3 linked regions of the Rattus norvegicus genome follow. The protein of the gene in region 1 purifies or fractionates together with the protein of each later gene. This does not show direct contact. Links are inferred from orthologs where the notes say so. Each region holds a gene or a part of one and is shown in the gene's direction. Other genes may lie near its edges. The genes, in order: Csnk2a2, Zc3h4 and Eif3j.

The links.
Region 2: the proteins of Csnk2a2 (region 1) and Zc3h4 purify together in Homo sapiens (affinity purification with mass spectrometry; 3 studies listed by BioGRID and IntAct, with this or other methods). This does not show direct contact. The link is inferred for Rattus norvegicus from reciprocal best matches to the Homo sapiens genes CSNK2A2 and ZC3H4.
Region 3: the proteins of Csnk2a2 (region 1) and Eif3j purify together in Homo sapiens (affinity purification with mass spectrometry; 5 studies listed by BioGRID and IntAct, counting the BioPlex papers as one, with this or other methods). This does not show direct contact. The link is inferred for Rattus norvegicus from reciprocal best matches to the Homo sapiens genes CSNK2A2 and EIF3J.

Annotation. Positions count from the first base shown.
Region 1 is NC_086037.1:9,559,080-9,566,421, forward strand, and holds the start of Csnk2a2 (casein kinase II subunit alpha'), read left to right. Parts: upstream 1-3,260; 5' UTR 3,261-3,636; coding exon 3,637-3,740; intron 3,741-3,747; exon of another isoform or gene 3,748-3,890; intron 3,891-4,387; coding exon 4,388-4,499; intron 4,500-7,342.
Region 2 is NC_086019.1:86,259,715-86,266,956, forward strand, and holds part of Zc3h4 (zinc finger CCCH-type containing 4), read left to right. Parts: intron 1-3,625; coding exon 3,626-3,984; intron 3,985-4,159; coding exon 4,160-4,539; intron 4,540-7,242. UniProt on the Homo sapiens protein: RNA-binding protein that suppresses transcription of long non-coding RNAs (lncRNAs). LncRNAs are defined as transcripts more than 200 nucleotides that are not translated into protein.
Region 3 is NC_086021.1:129,435,636-129,442,977, forward strand, and holds the start of Eif3j (eukaryotic translation initiation factor 3 subunit J), read left to right. Parts: upstream 1-3,079; 5' UTR 3,080-3,175; coding exon 3,176-3,221; intron 3,222-3,304; coding exon 3,305-3,408; intron 3,409-7,342. UniProt on the Homo sapiens protein: Component of the eukaryotic translation initiation factor 3 (eIF-3) complex, which is required for several steps in the initiation of protein synthesis.

The DNA of each region.
Region 1 (7,342 bases):
CACAGGAGCTTTCTAGAACTAAGAAAGCCTATCTGAGGGTTAGGACTATGACTTGCTAGGCTAGATAAGTTAACAGAAAATTTTGAGGGAGAATAAATCTTAGAGCAGCATTAAGATCTTAAGAACGTGTTAAATAAGAGGCCAAGTTGGGAGGGCATGCTGGAAATCAAGGTCAAAGTCCATTTGTTCCCCAAATGCTTTGTTTTCAGGGGTTTTTTTAAATTTAACTTTTTATTTTATGTGCGCTGGTGTTTTGACTGCGTGTGTCCCTAGAACTGGCATTAGAGATAGTTATGAGCTGCCAGCATTTCAGTGCTGGGAATTGAACCTGGGCACTCACGGTTCAACTATGTAGGATACAGAAACTACCATCACTATTATCCACAGTCAGTTAACCCCTGCACTCTCTCTCTTTCCAGCCCACAGTTCTTGTTTTTGAAGGTGTTTGAGTTTGTGCAAAGTTGCAAACTTGTGGGCTTTTTGTTTTATGACGAGGTCTTGCTATGAAACCCAGGCGGGCTTCAAACTCTTGGTTCTCCTACCTTTGCGCCTCCAGGGTTCTGGCATTACAGGGCTAGAGTCAGCACGCACAGATATTTGGCTTACTTCACTGTCAACCAGTGGCTCCTTCTTTCCATGGATGGTTGTGTCCTTGGGAACCCACAGGTTTTTATTATTTGTTGGTTTTTCTACAGAATTGCTTGAGAATACACTGCAGAAACTAAAACAATTCATCCTTCAACACTTGAAATTCTTAAAAACCAAATTCTTGTTTGACCCCAATATAAAGCTCATGTGCTTCAAGTTAACATTAAAGCATTGGTATTATATAATATAGACCCCATATTAAAGTTACCCCAGTGAGTGTCCTATTAGCTGTATTCTTATCCCTCTGTCACATACACACACACACACACACACACACACATACACACACACACACACACACACACACACACACACACAGAAAGAGTTCCCGCTTTTGTTTTGTTTTTTTTTTTTTGTCTTTTGTTTTTGAAATAGGGTCTACATAACCCACACTGGCCTGAAACACATCACAGAACCTAAGCTATGCTCCTACCTTAGCCTCCCGACAGCTAGGATAACAGTCATGCACTACTCCACCGGGCTTGACCCATGACTTATTTTAAGATATTCATTCTTTGTTGATTTTGAATGATAAGAGCAGTAGAAATAGTGTGCATGGCTTTCCAGAGTTCCGAGCAATAAAATGTGTATGGTTTTTATTTTATTTTATTTTGGACAAGTCTCACTCCACAGTCCAGACACACTGGCATCAAACTCATGCCAATCTGCCTGTCCTGACCTCCCACGTACCAGGGTTACCAAAATGCCCCCACACCTGACTGCATTCTCCCCATAAAAAAGTAAACAAAACAAGATTTTACTACGTAGCTCAGGCTGGCTTTGAACCCACAATCTACTACTCAGATAGGATTGTAGTGTGCAGTCTCAGGGGTGGCTCTCAGTTCCCTTTCATCAAGAGCAGCACCTCAAGATTTCTTTTTGGTGTGGCACTGTTATTTTTTTTTTTTTTTAGCAGTGTGGACTGGATGTTTTGCTGAACCACCCCTCAGTTTGGCTGTGTCTGGTTGGATGCAGGTAGAACTTTTTTGGCAGGTGTAAGTGGTGTGTCCTTTCTCCATGAATCACACAGGTCAGTTCGTCCCTGCATCTGACCTTCAGGGTCCCCTTTGTAACCAGCATGATATCTGTGGGGCAGTAGCACCATGTTGATTGAAGGCCTCCAGCTACAGCAGGCACTGAGTGACCTGGTGGTGACCACCCAGCCCAAGCCATGCCTTCAAATTGTTTTCACAGGAAGGGGACAGATGGTAAACCAGGAGAGAACTCATGTCAAGTGGATGAGTCATTGAGAGAAGTATCAACTTCAGAGAAAGTGGCCTTTAAGGAGTTGAAAAAAAAAGCCAGTCATTTGTGGGGTGGCAGAGGTACCCCCTGGCCAAGCTCAGAGAGAAGAAGGAACTGAAGATGGACATGTGATGCTCTCAGGGAAAGAAAGGTGATAGCGTTTAATAGCAGCATGAACATGTAGTGTTTTAATATTGAGCACTCCCACTTTACATGGTTTAAGTCTCTGCATAGCTCTGTGACATAGGTGCTGGGTTGATGCTACAAAATTTGAAGCACAGAGACGTTGGGTCATTGGCTCAAATCAGCATCACTTGTAAGCTACGGAACTGGGACTTGAACCCGGATAGTTAGGTATATAAAGAGGGAACATGGTCTCATCTAGAAAACAGTGGTGGGGGTAATTAGAAGTCAGAACAACCTGGGTTGGGAGAGGAGATCCTTGTTGATAAAGAAATGGACAGGAGGGGGCTGGAGAGATGGCTCAGAGGTTAAGAGCACTGACAGCTCTTCCAGAGGTCCTGAGTTCAACTCCCAGCAACCACATGGTGGCTCACAACCATCTGTATTGGGATCCAATGCCCTCTTCTGGTGTGAAAAAAAAAATATGGACAGGAGAACAAGATAGTCAGGGACCCCAGGAAATCAAAGACTGTTCAAAGCTTGTATGTTCACCAACCCTTAGTCTCTCCTTCGAGGCCGAACTCCTCACTCCCCAGTTCTCCCTCCTCTCAAACAAATAAACAAAAATGCATATTTACAGTCTTAAATTATGTCCCACAAACGACTGGTTCAATACAAAGGGAAAAAAAACCAATAATTTTATGGGGAAACTACCCAGCGGACTCTAGTTTAACCAAGTAGCCTAAAAGATGACTCAGTGGGCTACCAGGGGAATTGGACGGGGAACTGAGAGGATAGGGTAGATCTAGTAGTAGACTGGTTCTGCATGGAAGTTCTCTGCCTCTTGGGGTTGAAGGCGGGGAAATCTGTGGATAGCAGGGTGGAGTCTAGAGGGGGAAAGAGGAGTGAGGAAGGGAGACAGTTTGAGGTGAGGATTCTTGGGTTTAAAGCAAATCAGCTCAGGGCCAGTATAGGAGGTCTTGGTGGTTGACACGAGGTGACTGGACTGAGGGGCGATGCTAAAAGCGGCGCTAGTCGAGGGCAAGGGCTCCTAAGGGGTGACCTGCGGGTGGGCAGGCAGACTACCACTCTGCTTGGCGGGTGGCGAGATCGCTGAGGGGGCGGGCGCCGGCCACAGTCCCCCGGCACTGTAGGGGGCGCTGTGGGCAGGGGCGGGCTGGGGCTGGGCGGTGGCCGCTCCTGGCGAGCTCGGCCCCTTTTCCGGGTTTCCTCCGCCTCCTCCTCCTCCCTCTTCGCCGCCGCCGCCGCCGCTGCCCCTCTCCCGGCCGGTGGCTGCCGCTGCCGCTGCCGCTGCCGCCACCACCGCCTCTGGGGGCCGCGAGCCGAGCGGAGGCCGCCGCGGAGCACGAACCCCGCCGTCCCGCCGGCTGCCGAAGGCCCCGGGCCGGCTTGGCCGGCGCCTCCCGCGCCCCCGGCCCGAGCGTCCGTCCGTCCGCCCGCCCCCGCGGGCCCGGCCTGGCGCGGACGCCCGCCGCCGCCGCGCTCCTCCTCCTGCTCGGGCGGTCCGCGGCCCGCCGCTTCCCGCGCCTGCCGCCCCGCGCTCCGCGCCGCGCCGCCGCCGCCCTCGGCGCCCCGCGGCGCCCCCCGGTCCCGCCCGCCATGCCCGGCCCGGCCGCGGGCAGTCGGGCCCGGGTCTACGCCGAGGTGAACAGCCTGAGGAGCCGCGAGTACTGGGACTACGAAGCCCACGTCCCGAGCTGGGGGTAAAGCCGCCGCCGGCCGCCCCCCGCGCGAACCGCACCTTGCCGGCCGCTCGGCCTCGGGGCTGGCAGGGAGGCCCGACCCCGGCCGCACGTGTCCCCGGCCTCTCCTGTCCGCCCGGCCTCGGTCCCCGGTCCCCGGCTCAGCAGCCGGTGGGGAGAAGCGTAGGGTCAGGGTGGGGGCGGCCCTTCCTCCTCACACTTTGGGCTTCCTATGGGATGGGAAGTCCATGTCTGTCCTCTTGAGCTGTTAAAATCTCTACCTTTTTACTTTCTGAAATGAGGCTGGGAGGGAGGAACATTTTGAACATGGCCCCCCTAGAGGGTGTAAAATGGGAGGCAGGTGCTGTGGAGCCCCGGGCAGGCGGGCACCCCAGTACTACCAGGGGGATACCTTGCTCAGTCCACTTAACAGGGCTCATAAGGCCTCATAGCTGCCTTTTCTCCCTGTGCTTAGAGTCAGTGAGGTTAAGAGCTCTGCAGAATGACGGGAGCCAAGCTTCTGTGTGGCTTTCATTTAGAGAATGAGTCGAGGTGTGATGTCAGGAATACTTTGATTAGCTGGACTTGGTGGATGGATGTATAGTGGACATACGCTTGCTTAATCCCAAATCCTGGCATTTATGTACAATATCTCTTGCCTTTCACAGTAATCAAGATGATTACCAACTGGTTCGAAAACTTGGTCGGGGCAAGTATAGTGAAGTATTTGAGGCCATTAACATCACCAACAATGAGAGGGTGGTTGTAAAAATTCTCAAGGTGAGTGTACTACAGCGGCATGTAACCTTTTACCCCCACAGGGCCAAAGGACCAGCTATTCCAGAATAAGCGGCTCCAGCTCTTGTGTATCTTCTGCAGCACTCCTACCCCATTTTTCCTGTGAGCTTTTGAGAAAATGTGCAGGCTGGTCTTAACGCTGACTTTGATAGGTCAGGAACACTTAAGGTGTAAATTCTGAACTTCTCAAACAAATATGTGAGAGGGGTTGTATCTGATATGAAACAAAGAGATGTTTGCAAGAAAGAAAAGCATTTGCATGTATCATGTCCGTGTAGGGCTCCTAAAATGTACTAGTTACTCTCTGCTCCCAGTTACTCCAGAAAGAAAGTTGTCCAAACAAAACATAACTGGGGTCTTCTCAGAGATAAGTTTAAAGCCAAAAATGCAGGGCAACTCCCCCCAGTTGATAGTTTTGTTTCATTTAGAAGTAAAGTTTCAGGTGGGCTGGATATAGCAAGCCATCACTAAAAGAGATTCGGGGCAACAGAAGAGTACATTTTAGCCCCTGAAATAGTAACCGGAACAAAACTGTCTCAGTGGCAAGACTAGCCCTCTCACTTTGATAATGATAGGGCTTTTGTTATCACTCAAATGAAGACATGATCTTAATGAGCATGAAGAGTCAGCCAAGTTTCTGTACAGGTGATTGGAGATTAATTAGTGCTTTGTAGGTTGTACAAGAAAGTGATCCTTAGGACCTGAGCGGTTCTTCATGGTTGTCAGGTCATTTAATGCATATGCATGTCCCCTTAGGATCTGAGCAGTTCTTCACGTTGTCAGATCACTTAACATGTATGTGTGTCACTCGTGAAAGAAAGACCGCTGGAGAGTGGTAGTACTTCACCTGATTTTCACAGTGCCCAGTGGAGGTTCCCTGAACAAAATGGATTGAAAAGCTCATGCCTCAGGGCAGTCCTCATTTAATTGTAGTGTAGATTTTAGCATCGTGTAAATCATCTTTCAAAAAAAAAATAGCTGCTGCTAACGTTCCTTACCATCCTAGCCTAGTGACAAGGAGCAGCACTGCTGCTGAGGCCGGTGATGCTGCCACTGCTGCCCAAGGCACTGGTACGAGGAGGAAGGAATGATGTGGAAGGCAGGGAGCTTGGCCCACTAAGTATGACTTGTACATAGGAGGTGTGTAGTTACGGATGGGTGTGTTTTAAGCAGAGAAATGTTTCCTTCAGGGAAACATTGCTGGAGGAAGCCATACAATTTCATTACTTACATAAATGCATTTTGAATAGAAGTTACTTCAGATGTTTTCCCTTTAAGGAATAAGCAAAACAAGCATTGTCAGGAACATCCATGTTCCGTTGTACATTTGGAGGATTGAATTTGCCACGTCTAAAGCAATTTAAGGGAAATGTCTCAATGTCTGTGCAATAGACTAAGTGCAGCTTCCTGAGGTGTGTTTTGAAGGGAACAGTGCTCAGGTGTTTATGAGTCCCAGTGTTTAGAGAAGCATAGTTATTACTAGTTTTTGATTGTTCTCGTAAAGATTCAGAGGTTGGTTGCTTGATAGTTTTTCCTCTGCTCTGAAGAGTCTCTGCATATATTTTACCACATCCAGTATGGAAGCTGCTTTAAATTATTTTTACAAATAGCCTAGGTACAGAGAGACGTACCTGCCATGGTGCTGTTTGAAATGGCCCTTCGCCAAAACTCTTCTTTCCGATTTCTTCATACCTCTGAGTGTTCATTTCAGCACTGGGCTGCAGGATCTTAGCACTGAACACAGTAAGTTTCAGGGTTCAATCATGAGGTTTGGGAAACCCTTTTTATGCTGTAGATCATGAGGTGTTTGGTTCTCAGAGGGCAGTCCGAACCCTTCTACTCCTTTGTCAAAGTCCTGTGGCATTTCTGTATAGATTTTATTTATATTTGAAGGATAGAGTAAGAAACCCCTAATTAATATTGTGGTTTTGTTCTTATAATGGATTTGAAGTATTATTTTTCAAAAAGAACAGAGACTTTATCCAAAAGTTATGCTTATTACTCAAATAAGTTCAAGTTAGGACTAATGCCTACTATTGTGATGTTTTGTTAGAGGAAGTTAAGCCCTTTGCAGTGCTAGCTGCTCAGTTTGGGGCAGTCTGGGAAAGGTTTGCTTCTCTTACAAGCCTGTAGTAGTTAACCTGCAGGGGGGACGAGTGTGCACTTGGTGACTGAGACACAGGGCACAGACTTTAGTGACACTTCATAACAGTTTTTGTCATTCTGCCACAATTGGATGCATAGTGATCATGGAGGGCTTTTATTTCATTTATCTTGCATGTAAGATCTCTAAGTATTTGATTCGTCGAGGTATGTTTGAGCCTATTAGAGGGCTTTATAAATTTAAAAAGCTGCTAGTGAAAGTTTTGTGATTTTTTTTTTTTTTAATAAGGTAATACTCTTACTTCTTTAATGTGTCTGTGAAAAAGTGAATTATGTGTGGAGGTCTGAGGTTAAATCTTAAAAACTTTCTAATGAATAGAGAAGTCATGCCTTTTATTCTTTTGGGGGGTGTCCAAAAAAATTGTGTTAATGAGAAAAGGAAATGATTTTTTTAAAGAATTTATTGATGCAACAAGGTAGAAGGCTACTTTAGTGTCAAAAGCAGTTGATTCTTTTGTTCCTCTCTAGTACTTAGAAAGGTGTGCCCAAAGTAAGATTAAAGCATCAGTGAGCACGGCTTGTGTGCATGGATGGCAGCTCTTCCTGGGGTCCTCAAGAGCTTTCAATTAAACTGCTGTTTCTTGAGTACTTGTCAAGAGCAATACTATTTTTTTTTTTTTTTTAAAAACAACCAAAGTGTTTTGAACCAGTGCTGCAGTGAC
Region 2 (7,242 bases), on another chromosome or scaffold:
GCCAGTGTTTCTGTAGTCACAGGGACTCGAGCAGAGAAGGAAGTGGGACCAGGATCTCACAAACCAGGTGCCATTTGACACTCATCCTGGTGTCTGTTTTTCTTTTCCAGATTGGTACAGTTAGTGGGGGTGCTTTCTTTTGTCATTCCTTTTGGGAGCCTATCAGCCTAAGCGAACTAGATGATCAGCATCCAGTCAGTTCTCTGGAAGGACCAGCAGTGTCTGATTAAAGGACGCCCCCTGCTGGAGGTTCAGTGTTCACACTTAAAAGCAGGAGCCCAGTCCTGCCCCTGGATCAGTCTAGTTTTTCTTGTAGCTTTGTTTTATTTTTTGAAGTTTGGTTGGGGTTTTGTTTTGTTTTGTTTGTTTAGTTTTGTTTTAAGACATGGTCTCTATGTAGCCCTGGCTGTCCTAGAGCTCCCCATGTAGATCAGGATGAGTGCTGAGATTAAAGGTGTGTGCCACCATATCTCCCGTTATTTTAAGTTTGCAGTAGCCCCACCCCCTTTCTTTTTGTTTTGTTTTGACAATTTTGCTTTGTGGCCCATGCTGGCCTCTTCATACCTACTCTTCTCAGTGCTCAACTTACGGGGTTTCTCTGTCCTAGAACTGCTCTGTAGACCAGGCTGGTCTCTGCCTCCTAAATTCTGGGATCAAAGATGTATGCCACCATGCTAGGGTGACTCACTCTGCCTTCCTTTCTTTCTTTTCTTTTCTTTTCTTTCCTTTTCTTTCCTTTTCTTCTTTTTTTCAGAGCTGGGGATCGAACCCAGGGCTTTGCGCTTGCTAGGCAAACGCTCTACCACTGAGCTAAATCCCCAACCCCTCCTTTTCTTTTTTTAAGGAAAAAATGTTTTGAAATTATTTTATTGGGGTTGGGGATTTAGCTTAGTGGTAGAGCACTTGCCTAGCAATCGCAAGGCCCTGAGTTCAGTCCCCAGCTCCAAAAAAAAAAAAAGAAATTATTTTATTTTAGAAACAGAAAGGAGAAAAAGAGAGAAAACCACGAAATATTCGGGCATTTTTACTTCCTGAATTTCTCTTCTTTTTTTTTTTTTTTTTTTTTTTCTTTTTCTTTTTCTTTTTTTTCTGGAGCTGGAAACTGAACCCAGGGCTCTACCACTGAGCTAAATCCCCACCCCCACTTCCTGAATTTCTCACACCCTCATTTGCTCACTAGTTCCCACAATGAGAAAGTTCCCAGCCACCCACAATTATGTCATTAATAGGGACATGCATCACACATGGCTCACAAAGAAGCTTTCCAGGATCAAAGATCCTGTTGCTGTTACCTTGGCAACAGTCTCCTGGAAGCCTGTCTGTCGGCTTTAGTGCATCTTCTACCAGCACAGTTACGTTCTTCACAAACTGCTGACTCGGCTAATTGGCATGACCTGATCCATGATTGTTACCTGGATGGCTATTTGAGAAGGTACAGATGCTTCGGTACCGAGTTTATGCTGAAGTGCAAAAAGAAAACATTTTATAAGTCTGTGAAGATAGCTCTCACCCCAGGGGAAGGTGCCTGGTCTCTCCCTTGCATGGCAGAGCTTCAGCTTCTCTGAGGTGGACTGGCTGTTTTTGTTTGAAACAGTCTTGTGTAGTCCAGGTTGGCCTTGAAATCACTACAATCTACAGTCATTATTAAACCCATGATCCTCCTGACTTCAGCTCCCAAGTTCTGAGATTACAAGCATACACACCACCAAGTTCTGCCCAGCAGATCTGTGGGTATTGACCAACATGTAGATTTATCTCTGCTCTGTACAATCTAGACATAACACACACACACACACACACACACACACACACACACACACACACACACACACACACTTTATCCCAATACTTGGAATCCCTGTATGATTTGTATCCCTATAGTTTGCTTTTGCAGGGTATCATAGGGATGGGGAGCAGGTGGGAGAGCCTATACCTCTCATTCACAAGGCCCTGAGTTTGATCCCCATCATCACTGGAGAAAACAAGTGTCTTCTAGGTAGAACTGTAGAATAAAGTAGGCTAGAGGTGTGTGTCTGCCTTGTGCATGCCATAGGGCACTTTTGATCTGCTTATAGCAACTGTAGTTCAATGCAGTTGCCTGCCAGGTTGAACTCCTCAGCTGATAAAGTTAGCTTTGTTGATCCAGTCATTGGTTAAAATACATTTGTATATTTCTTTTTTTTTTTTTTTTGGTTCTTTTTTTTTTTTTTTTTTTTTTTTTTTTTCGGAGCTGGGGACCGAACCCAGGGCCTTGCGCTTCCTAGGTAAGCGCTCTACCACTGAGCTAAATCCCCAGCCCCCATTTGTATATTTCTTGTTTGGGCAAAAGCTTAAAGTTTGTGACAGCTACCTTATTTGTGCATGCAAGTTTGAGTCACTTTTTTTTCTTTAGACAAGTTTTCTCATCACATGGTGGCTCACAACCATCTGTAATGGTATCTGTTGCCCTCTTCTGGTGTGTCTGAAGACAAGTTTTCTCTGTAGCCCTGGCTGTTCTAGAATTCAGTCTGTAGACTAGGCTGACCTTATGTCCATAGATACTATCCTGCCTGTCCCTCCAGAGTACTGGGATCAAAGGCGTGTGCTGCCGTAACTGGTGACGATGATCATTTTTACATAGGCGATAGACCTTTGGATTCTGGCATCCGCTGTAATAAAAGGTTTGGTGACACAGCTCAGTCCTAGCAGACATGTTCAACAAGAGCCTAGTAGCAGTGGTCCTTGCTAGTAGAGAGGCCATGTATGGAAAGGCTGCAAGGGAGTATAATGACGGATATTTGTCTGCTCCCTCCATTTGTGCGGAAATTGCTGGTGCGTAGTCTATGTTCTATCCTCTGGTCATGTCCTTGTGTGTCTGCCTTGTTCATGTCACTGGGCTCAGATGAGAAGACCAGGCTCCTCCTTAAGCTGTAGGGTCTGGGTTGTAAAAGGCTTCACACATAGGGAAGACAGAAGCCCAGCTGTAGAGCTTTCCATGTTAGAAGACATCCCTAAGGGTGCTGAGGTGGGTGCCAGCAAGACTGCTTTCATCCAGTTTGTTACTAGCAGTACCTGCTAGTGTTGAACCCCAGGCTTGTCTTTTTTTTTTTTTTTAAGATTTTATTTTATTGTATGAGTACACTGTAGCTGCCCCCAGACACACCAGAAGAGGGCATCAGATCTCATCACAGATGGTTGTGAGCCACCATGTGGTTGCTGGGACCCGAACTCAGGACCTCAGGAAGAGCAGTTGGCGCTCCCAACCACTGAGCCATCCCTCCAGCCCCCCAGGCTTGTCTTCTTTGGTAGCTGTCTCAAATTATTAAGGAAATTGACTAGGTTTTCACACTTGATCATTGGTAGAGAGAAGTGCACTGTGATTTGAAACCTTGCTGGAAAAATCTGTCTCAGGTCATTAGAGGCCTAGGAGGGAGGCTACCTTCAAACTTGATCTTCCTGCTTCCTCATCCCTAACGCTAAGATTGCAATCGTGTAGCACTATGCCCAGTTTGATGAAGCAGATGAATTTAGGTCCTAGACCCTGTGCTCTAAAGGCCCCCAGCAGGTGTGTGTTTTAAGTTTTTCCTCAGAAAATTGAGTCTGACTTAGTAGAGTCTTCTGATGTGACTTCCTCTGCTTCCCACAGATGTTGGCTGATGATGCAGAAGCAGGTGCTGAGGATGAGAAGGAGGTGGAAGAGTTGAAGAAGCAGGGCATCAACCCCTTGCCTAAGCCACCTCCTGGTGTGGGGCTCCTGCCTACTCCTCCACGGCCCCCTGGACCCCCAGCCCCCACCTCTCCTAACGGCAGGCCCATGCAAGGTGGCCCTCCTCCTCCACCACCACCCCCTCCCCCACCTCCTGGGCCTCCTCAAATGGCCATGCCAGCACATGAACCGCTGTCCCCACAGCAGCTACAGCAGGACATGTACAACAAGAAGATCCCCTCTTTGTTTGAGATTGTGGTGCGACCCACAGGGCAGCTAGCTGAGAAACTGGGCGTGAGGTGAGTATATTGCTTGCCCTTAGAAGCACAGGCGCATGGCCTGGCAGGGCTCTGTCCTTCTGAAGCTGTCATTCCCCATTTGGGCTCCTGGCCCCAGGCTCTAAGTGAGCACTGCTGGCTGGGTGCTGCTGCCTTTCCTTAGCAGCTTCATCACAAGAACCATTTCCTCTTCTAGGTTCCCTGGACCTGGTGGACCCTCAGGGCCAATGGGTCCTGGCCCCAACATGGGACCCCCAGGGCCAATGGGGGGGCCCATGCATCCTGACATGCACCCAGACATGCACCCTGATATGCACCCCGACATGCACCCCGACATGCACCCCGATATGCACCCCGACATGCACCCTGACATGCATCCTGACATGCCAATGGGTCCTGGCATGAACCCTGGCCCTCCCATGGGTCCTGGTGGCCCCCCAATGATGCCCTATGGTCCTGGAGACTCCCCACACTCTGGAATGATGGCTCCTATCCCGCCAGCCCAGAACTTCTATGAGAACTTCTACCCGCAGCAAGAGGGCATGGAAATGGAGCCGGGTCTTGTTGGGGATGCAGGTATGTAGGCAACAGCTAGACTGCAGAGCTGGGCTCACCAGGGTGGGATGGAGGTCAGAAGTGACTTTTCTTCCTTGGCCAGTCTTACAGCAGCATTCCAGTTCCATTCCCAGTCTATAGGTGTTTTAAATATTAGGGGGCCCTTGACCTTATGGGGGCTGGAGGACTCTTGTGTTTGTTGTCAGTGTAGGAAACAGTACTCATAGGGCCTAGCATCAATCGTGAGCAAGGCAAAAATGCCTTAGGAGGCTGTGCTTGTGTGCCTGGCACCATCAGGAGGAAGGCAGGGCCCCTCTTCCAGGTAGTGCTGGGCTCACTAACTCTGCCTGTCTGAAACCATTGACTGGACAGGTTCTTGCCTGTGTCCTGTGATGTTAGCAACCTCGGTGTCCAGCATAGTCAAGGATAGATGCTGTGGGAGATTCAAGGAGGAGGAGGGACCTGCCCCAGGCCAAAGCTCAGAGTCGTGGTCTCTGTCCTTGCTATAGTTGCATTTTAGTAGAGCAAACCAGAGAGAAGTCGGATGGCTCATTTTAGCTTTAGCCATTGTTAGAAAATAGCATAGGACTGTACAGAGCCACAGCCCTAGCAGGGACAGTCATCTGAAGCATCTCTGAGAATGTAACCAGGTGCCATAGCTGACCAGCTTATCTGAGGACAGCAGAGATAGAGATGGCTATGCATCTATAAAGGAGTGAGAGAGCGACATCTTAACATATGCAGGTGTGTGTGTCACTGTGGTATCGCCCGCTCTACCGAGCAGTAGAGGGCAGCAGGACATGCACTTGTGGCTCCCAGTGCTTGGGAGGATACAGTGAGACTGCCAATCAGCCAGAACAGTGGTGGGAGTTTCCGGGTTCCCGTGCAGTTGCTGACAGCAGGTGCATCCAGGTGGAGACCAGGAGGTAGCCAAGGATACAGAGATGAGTCACGGGGTTTGGGACTGGCACGTTGGAGCCAATGTGACCTGTATGTATGTGCTGTGTAGGGCTGGAAGGAGCAGCTAGGAGGATGGGCGCCAAGTATAGGCAGGCCTTCACCGACATTCAGGCTGTTCTGTTGGATGTGAGGATCACTGCTGCCTCAAAGCACAAGGAGCCTGGGAGGTGCGGGGGTGCGGGGATAAAGCATCCACAATGCATGGTAAAGAGTGGGTTTGAAGAGATGCTAGAAAAGGCAGACCAACAAATGGAGGGAGATGCTGTTGACTGGCCTGAGTTAGTTGCTTGTTGATGATAGGTGTCTCTACAGCGAAAGTGAGCTCTAATGTGAGTTCCAGGAACTACTCTTTACAGCACAGAGCTGCTGTGGTTTCTGTACATTTACTTGGCCTTCTGGCGATTGATGTTCTATGGAGGTGAAGCCTCTGCCTGTGTCCCAGCTCCCGAGGAGCTGTAGCATAGAAGAGGTCCCATTAGGCTCTAACCAAAACTCAGGCCACCTTCACTCACTGTGAGGTCTTACAGTTTTGCAGTTTGTGGTATATATGGGGGGTGGTGAGGTGGTGGTGCACATAGCAGTATGCAAGTGTGCGTAGACCGAGTTGACCTGTTTGTGTATTATCACTGTACATCTAAGGCAGAACTCATTTGAACCTAAGTGATTGCCATTTCAGCTAGTACAGCTCTCTAGGCACCGGGACACCCGCCTACTCACCAAGTACTGACTGCTGGGCCATTGCCAGGCTTGCCTTGCTTCAGGTTGTAGTGGCGATCCAGTTGTGTGACAGTAGGCTACTGAGCCATCTTCCTGGGCCCCAGTTTCTCTATTTAAATACCAGACTACCTCCTTTGGTGGCATGAACCACATCTCTGATGCTCGGTATCTTGTCCTAGCTGGATAAAAGTCATGTCACATGTGCAAGGGACAGTTGACTCTTGACAGACCTGGGCATGCTAGCTCAGCACCCTACGATCCAGGGACTCAGTGAGACAGTGGTGTTGTATCTGCTATACGTAGTGGACCTGGTCGTTGAGGGAGGAGAGACTTGCTCTGGCCGTGCAAGGGAAGCTGCCTCATGCAGTCAGTGACTCCAGGGACGCTGAGAGGAAGGGTTGGGGGGATGCCGTGAGCTGGACTGAGATTTTAGTGTGTTTCGTTCTCTCCTGGGAGATGCAGTGACTTTCTTACAGGTATATCTAACCTCCAGGGTAGGCACTGCATGCAGCTGAGAGAAGCTAGGAATGCAGCACAACACAAAATCTTAAACTTAATTAAGCATTATGACTATGCTGGGCATCATGGCTCACGCCTTCAATCCCAGCACTCGGTAGGCAGAGGCAGGTGGATCCTTGTGAGTTCAAAGCCAACCTGGTCTGTTTAGAGAGTTCCAGGCCATCCAGGGCTGCGTAGTGAGCTCTTTCCTCAAAAACAAACAAAATTAGGACCTTTGTTTTTGTGTGTATGAGATTATTTCTTTGATTACATGCTTTCTCGAGCATGAACTTGGTAGATGACAGTATCACATTACAGTGTCAAACACTTAGACGTACCTGCAAGAAGCCATGAGACCACTCATGGCAGATGATAAACCAAGCCTGCTTCCTGTGAGGACAGCAGCAGCTACCTAGCCTGAGAGGGGTATGGCCTGTCCACAGACATCCTGCCTGAGGTGTATGCACACAGTGTGCTGACATCCATAGCCTGAGGTGTATGCACACAGTGTGCTGACATCCATAAGCATCTATCATGCCTTCCCTGAGC
Region 3 (7,342 bases), on another chromosome or scaffold:
AAAGAACAGTAGACATCTCTCCAAGATCTATGAGCAAACAATTTTTCCTGAATTCTTTATTATAAGAAGGATTAATTATTGAGCCATTTTTAAGGTGAACTACTGAGCATTTACTATGTGCCAAGTACTAGGAATACAGCAGCAAAGAAAATAGAGAGCTACATGTGTTGGCACACAGGTCTGCCACCCCATCTCATCTAATTGGGGAGCAGAGGCAGGAGGATGAATCTAGAGTGGAGGTCAACAATGACCTAGCTAGTTCCAGGTCTAAGACCTTGTTTCATGCCCCCTTCCCTACGTCTTAACAATGGGAAACAGGCAAGAGACACATGCTCAGATAGAAAACAGGGTCATCACAGAAGGAATGTGATGAAAGACCCAGAAAACAGATGAGCACGTGTGTCCCCCTGTTTATACGGGGACCAAACTCAGGGCCTTCTGCATGCTAGGCAAGCACTGTACCAACTGAGCTTCACGCCCAGCCTACAGAAGGGATTCCTGTAAACTGGACATCTGGCTTTACTGTGAAGGAGGAGAAGCAATTCATGTGAAGTACGGGCAGAGTACCACAGGCAGAAATATTATCGACTCTAAAGCTCCTAGAGGTAGCCTCAGCAATGAAGGGAATAAGGAGGGTGGGGAATCAGAGGGAAGGAGAGACAGCAGAGGAAGGGAAAGAAGGGGGAGAAAAAGATAATAAGGAAAGGAGACTGGCAAATGTCTGAAGGAAGTAGGACAGCCTATGCAAGGGCTTATTGACCAGGAAAAGAAGCTGAACTTTTCTTTTAGGACAGGGTCACATATAACCCAGGCCACCCTCAGACTTACTATGTAGTTTCTTTTTTGATCCTCCTGCCTCCACCTCTTGGGGTTACGGGCGTGTGCCATGCATTACTTATAAGGATTGGATTTCCGGCCTTGTGCATGGTGAGTAAGTATTCTCCAACTACATCATATCCCCAGGCCAAAAAGTTGAGGTTTTCTTAAAAATAAGAAGTCATTAAGAGAGATTTTACCAGGAAGGAAGCAATGTTATTTACTATTTATTCAGAGAGGCTGGCCTCAAACTTGGGATCTTTTGGCTTCTGCATCAAGGGTGCTGGAATACAGGGCTGAATCACCCCACAGCAGGTATAAACTGCAGTTTTAAGTATGCACACTATTTGTGTGGGGTATGGGCTGTGGAGGAAGAAATGGGAGAGGGACCACCTGTTGGAAGATTACAACGAAGATTCAGGTGGTAGTAGTTTTTCAATTTCAGCAATGGAAACAGAGCTACAAACCTTGGTAAAAAATGGAATTCAGGAGGTCAGTGAGGGCAAGAACTGAGGGACAGCGCTTAGGTCTTGATTTGGGCAGCTCAGTGAGTGTCATCATCACTTAACCTCCTCTGACCTTCGACACATTCAGTCCCTACAGTAGGGCTCTACACAGAAACAGAGAAATGGGATGCGTGTATCAAAGAGAATTTAAGGAACTTAGATCAAACAATTATCCAAAATCTTCAGGGCCAGCTAGCAGGGTAGAGATCCAAGGGACATCTGACCCTGTGGTCTGGAAGCGTAAGTCTTCCTTCCTATGGTCTTAATTCGGATTCATGGCTGGATCAACATATATTACAATGCTTTACTCAACTACTGATTGAAACGTTAATCACACCTAACATTCACAGCAACTAGACTGGTGTTTGACTAAAAAGTAGTGAACATGTATACCACAGTCTAGTCAAGCTGATACATAAAATTAACCATTCCAATCACTAAGTTCTATTGCCTTTGACCTTTAGTTTTCAGACTAGTTCCTTCCTCTCCTTTGTCTCTGGCTTAATTTGGGCTTGAATTCTTCTCACTTAATTCGTTCAAGTTGGAAATCACATAGCTCAGTGGTAATGCAAGGAATGCAGAGGCTCTTGGTTTTATCCTATTTGATTGTACTTATGTATTAGGTATTTTGCCAAATTATAAATGGATGCTTTCTATTTTTTATAGAGCGCTGCCTCTCACTTTAATGCTGTAGAACATTTCTTGAAAGATCACATTATAAAATGTTTACTTGTAGACGAAAAATACGCAAGAAACGGAAACTAGTAAGAGAATGGCTGATCTGGGTCAATAATATCTTTTCAAGACTTTAAAAATTAAACCAGATGTGGTGGCTCATGCCTTTAATCCCAGTACTTGGGAGGCACCAGCCGGTGGATTTCTGAGTTCATAGCTAGCCTGGTCTACAGAGTGAGTTCCAGGACAGCAATGCTACACAGAGAAATTTGTCTTAAAAAAAAAACTTTAAAAACTATGAATATATTGGAAAATTAAACAATATCTAAACTAGCTCGTCCCTTAACGTCCTTATAAGGAAGCCCAGTGTCAAGGGAGAAAGAATTATGCTCCTTTTAGGTTCTTTATTATCAGTTTACCTGTTCGATTGTACTCAGTCAGATGAGCACCACAAGACTTCTCTCTACTACAAATGCACCAGAGCACAAGTCACTTGGTTTCTCAAACTCCAACTTCATCAGTGCCTACCGCGGGCAGGAAACTGCAACCTCCGTCGTCGTTAATGCTACCTTTTTACATCTAACCTCATAATGCTTCTTTTTGTTGCAGCCATTGCACTGTGCCGAAATCTGTTTACATAACTATTTTGCTACTGTGTTGAGGACAAACTAGAATATATGCCTTGGCACGGAACTCCGAAATGTTTCCGCCAAAGAATCACCGTGCTAGGCTCCGGGTGACCACGGGAAGGGAAAACCCGGGAGACTTTGGGGTAGGCTTCGATCTCCGTGCCCAAATGCTAGGAGGCCTCGGGAGAACAGCCCTGCCTACTTCCTTCTCACTGAGTTTCTGCTGGCTCCCAGTCTACCAGCAATAGAAGATCTGGTCGCCAAGCCAGCACCGCCCTACTCAGGCGTGCGCACTTCCTTTTCCTTCTCGCGGGGGTGGGGGAGGTGGGGAGGCCCGGGCTGGTCCGCGTCTCCTAGCCCAGCGTCGCCCCGCCCCACCCCGCCCCGCCGCGCGCGTCGCCCGGGGGGGCGGAGCTTCGGCCAGGCGCCCAGTCAGCCACAGTCCCAGCCTGCCCCGCGCGGGCCAACGAGAGCCAGCCCAGTGACTCACCTCTGCCGCGCTAACTCTTCGCAGCTCTTCCCTTCACACACGCTCACCCCCGGATCGAGATGGCGGCGGCGGCGGCGGCGGCAGCGGGGGACTCAGACTCCTGGGGTGAGCAGAAGTTCCGGCCCGAGTGCGGGCTGTGGAGGCCCCGCTCCCACGCGTGTACTAACGCGACTCGCTCTCTTCCATAGACGCGGACACGTTCTCTATGGAGGACCCGGTTCGGAAGGTCGCGGGCGGCGGCACAGCAGGCGGGGACCGCTGGGAAGGCGAGGACGAGGACGAGGACGTGAAGGTAGGTGCGGGCCGGGGCGCCAGGCTACGCGGGTGGGCGCTGGCTGCGGGCGGGGAGACTCGGGACCCCGGGGCGCCGCCCGGGCCTGCGGGCCGTGGGTCCCGCGTGAGCGTCGGCCCAAAGGTTCCCTGGTTCCCTGGTTCCCTCAGCTGGACGGCCATGTGGGTAGCAGGCGGCAGCTTGTCCGGCCTGACTCTGCGGAGGGTGGTGGCCGCCTGGGCCCCAGCTCTTCACCGAGGGTCTGCTCTCAGGCCTGGAACCTAACTGGCGACAAGAAGTGACAGCAGCAGTCCGGTCGGCCCACGTGCTATCTTCGCAGTCCAGAACCTGTCGCCGAAACAAGCCGAGCAGATCGGGAACTCAGTTTCAGTGTTTGCCCCATATGGAAAGTCGTGAGACCCGACTTTCCTAGTTCGGGTCTCCCATGTGTCAGTAACTTAGGTATGATTGTGAAGGCCGGTAGCTTCGTTCGAGCGATTAGATGGAGAAAATAGATTGATTTTTCTAACCTAGAATTGGAGCAGTAAAACAACTTTTAGCTCTCCCTTCCCCCACCCTGTGGTAAGAAGGATGAACTGGGAGCACTGAGATAACCAGCGAGTTAGTGGACAGAACTGAACTGTGAAAAACCGAGTTAACAGGTATTCATTTACACAGGGACCGACAGGCCTAGAAAAATACCAGAGTTGGTTGTTGTGGTAAATAAACCAGGGGCCACTGGTTTTGTTTTTCTTCATCATGTAGATTCGAGTCCTATTCACCTTTATTGTTTTTAAAAACTCCTAGGGGCTCATCCTACAGCTTCAGATGTACTGTTTGGATTTTTCTTCTTCATCCTGAAGTTTGTTGTTGAAGTGTATGCCCACTTTACCAGCTGGCCTGAATTTGAGGAATGGAGAGAGCTTTGTATACACTGAAGTCAATAATGACAAGTAGCGTTAATGACTGGCCACTTGCATGCTTTGTTTCCTAGTGTATGTATACACTTGGGCATGATTTGCCACCACATCTCACAGCAGATTTTCAGGTTTGATTTTTCACTTTCCCTAGGAAGTAGAAGTTAGGACATCCTATAAAGTTAAAGAAGTTAAAATTAAGGGCTGGGAATAAATTCAAAATAAAACAGGAGTGGGGGTGGGGAACCAGAGGAAGTGGGAATAAGTTCCAGAAAGCTTAAAGTTTAAAGTTTAAAGATGTCTGTAATGATGCCGGATAGCATCTACCTGGGGTTATGGAATCTTAAGTGGTGTCGATCCTGATGTTTATAATTCTTTTTTTTTTTTTTTTTTTTTTTTCTTTTCTTTTTTTTCTGGAGCTGGGGACCAAACCCAGGGCCTTGCGCTTGCTAGGCAAGTGCTCTACACTGAGCTAAATCCCCAACCCTGATGTTTATAATTCTTAACCACGTAACAGTAATTAATAGTAATTCTGGCCCTTCCTGGTGCCATGATCTTTTAACTTGTATTTGACATGTTGTGGTGACCCCCTCCTAAGCATAAAATTATTAATTTTTGCTACTTTATAACTGATTTTGCAGCTGTTATAAGTTGAAATGTAAATATCTGATCTCTGAAAGGGTCATTGGAGACCCACAAGTCTAAGTGTAAGAGCTAATTTTTGGGAGACTTAGAAGTAAGTTACCATAAAGACCACAGTTTTTGACTCCTGGGTTTTAGAATCAGACTGGATTATGTTACCTTGGCATTTTCTAGTTACACTTTCTCAATATGTAAATAATCATAATGAGACTTGCATTACATAGTTTGTTGTTTTTTTGACTGTTTTGAGACTGGGACTGACTATGTAAACCAGGCAGTCTTTGAATCTCACCAATCTGCCTGGCTCTGCCTCAGGAGTTCTGCGACTAAAGGAGTACACCACCATCAGAATTACTTTGTCTTTTAAATGAGCATTAAGCAGGGCTACCTAGCACTTGGTAGGTATTCAGAAAATATTAGTTTTCATTGATGTCTTCCTTCTTTTATCCTAATGGAAATAGTTTGGCTGTTAAAATCTAAATATCTGAGGTTTATTTTATGTCACATTTTATCATTTCCTAAGGCCAGAAGGATTGATTTTTTTCTATAGTGTCTATTTACTATGAATTTTGTTTTTATTGGAGGATGGATCATGGTTATCAAGTTTTTGCCCATTCAGAAGTTTGTTAGAATTGAAATTTGTCACCTTGCATAGCAATGAGTTATGTTGCCAAACTTCCAAATCCTGATACTTTAGTGTTTAATCATTTTGTGGTGGTGTGCAAGGCTTAGTTTTCATGAAGTCAAAAATTGTAGTTCTTAAACAATTTAATATGTGAGTAAAAAAAAAAATAGATTGTTGGGATGGCAAGTGTAGTTCTAGCACTTTGGGGAAGTTGGAGGAGAATCAGCTGGGTCCAAGAGTTTAAGACCAACTAGGGCCATAGAGAGAGAGTTCTATGGCAAAACTGTAGAAAGTATTCTTTTATCAAGGATCACGCGCTTGACCTTTATAAGTTACCATTTTAATAATAGTGTCTGTTTTAGTTACTCGCCCTAGTTGTTCTTTTTAACCTTTTTGACTTTTCAGTAGCTGTCTTGCAGTGGCAAAAATGGACGTAACCTGTAGATCTCTTAATATTCATGGAGGACAGACTTTTTCCCAGTAAAAAGGTGAAACCTAGTCGCTAGAGAGATGACCTAAGAGCAGTCTTCTCTTCTTGAGTGCCAGAGTCAGATTCCTAGCATTTACATCATAGCCGTCTGTGGCTTTAGCTCCAGGACATCCAGTATCTCTGTCCTTGTAGATCTACTGTCATATGCATGTCCACAGATAGGCAGACATACTTCTTTTTGAGAACTAAGGCGTGTATATCTCTATTTGTATTTAGTATTTCCTTAGACTTTTTCTTACTATTCTGATATGCAGAAGTAGCGGAAGAAGTTCTTACTTTGTGTATATGACTAGAGTGATGTACAGATATAGATGCAGGATTGAGTGCCTACTGAAAGCAGGGACAATGCAACTTTAAAACCATTTTACTGGATTCCCTAAAATTTCAATTTAACAAGTTGCAAATCAGGTTTATTCAGAAGGTATACAGATTTTTAGAGGAAACTTCTGGCTGTGTTCAGCTATCTCAGGCATTTTGTTTTGTTTTTGTCTGTTTTTATGTTTAGTTATTTTAGGCAGGATATCATTTGGCCCAAGGCTGGCCTCACCATCTTTGCCAACTGAATTCTGTGACCTTGCCTACAGACATTTGAAGGCATGTACAGCTACCCTCAGTTTATGCCTCCCTGTGGATAGAACGCAGGGCAAGCCACCACCTGAACTACATCTGCAGCCCTCAGCTATGTGTCTCTATAGTTGCACTGTAGAATTTATTACACAGGTCTCCGAGGACTGACCCAGGTAAAAACTATGGAGTAAGCAGTTGTGCCTTACTCATTTACTTTAAGGATCTATCCAGATTAATATTGTAAATCTTCCAGGTTAAGGACATCTTTTTTTCACGTATTAGCGCTTCTGAGGAATAGGATCTATATTTATTTTATTTTTGTTTATTTTTTATATTTTATATGCGGGGAGGATCTCCAGTTTGGATCTTCCTGCTTCATCCTTCCAAGTTCTTTACATACATGTGTGTGTGCCACTTCAAGATCTGTATTTTAGAGAAAAATGTGGTTACATTTTCAGGTAACAATTTTGCCAGAAAATAGGCAATTGTTTGTTTTGTTTTCTTTAAAAGAGTGTATCATGTAGCTCAGGATAGTGTTTAATTCACTGTGTACTAAGGGTGGTTTTAAACTGTTTCTTGGCTTCCCAAGTGCTATGCTATGTGCTCTGTGCCTGGTTTCTGCATTTCCAATGTTGGAACTCAGGATGGTTTGACACTCTACCAAGTGAACTCCCCAGTCCTGCCCTTTTTTTGGGAAGTAGGAGGAGCAGTCTG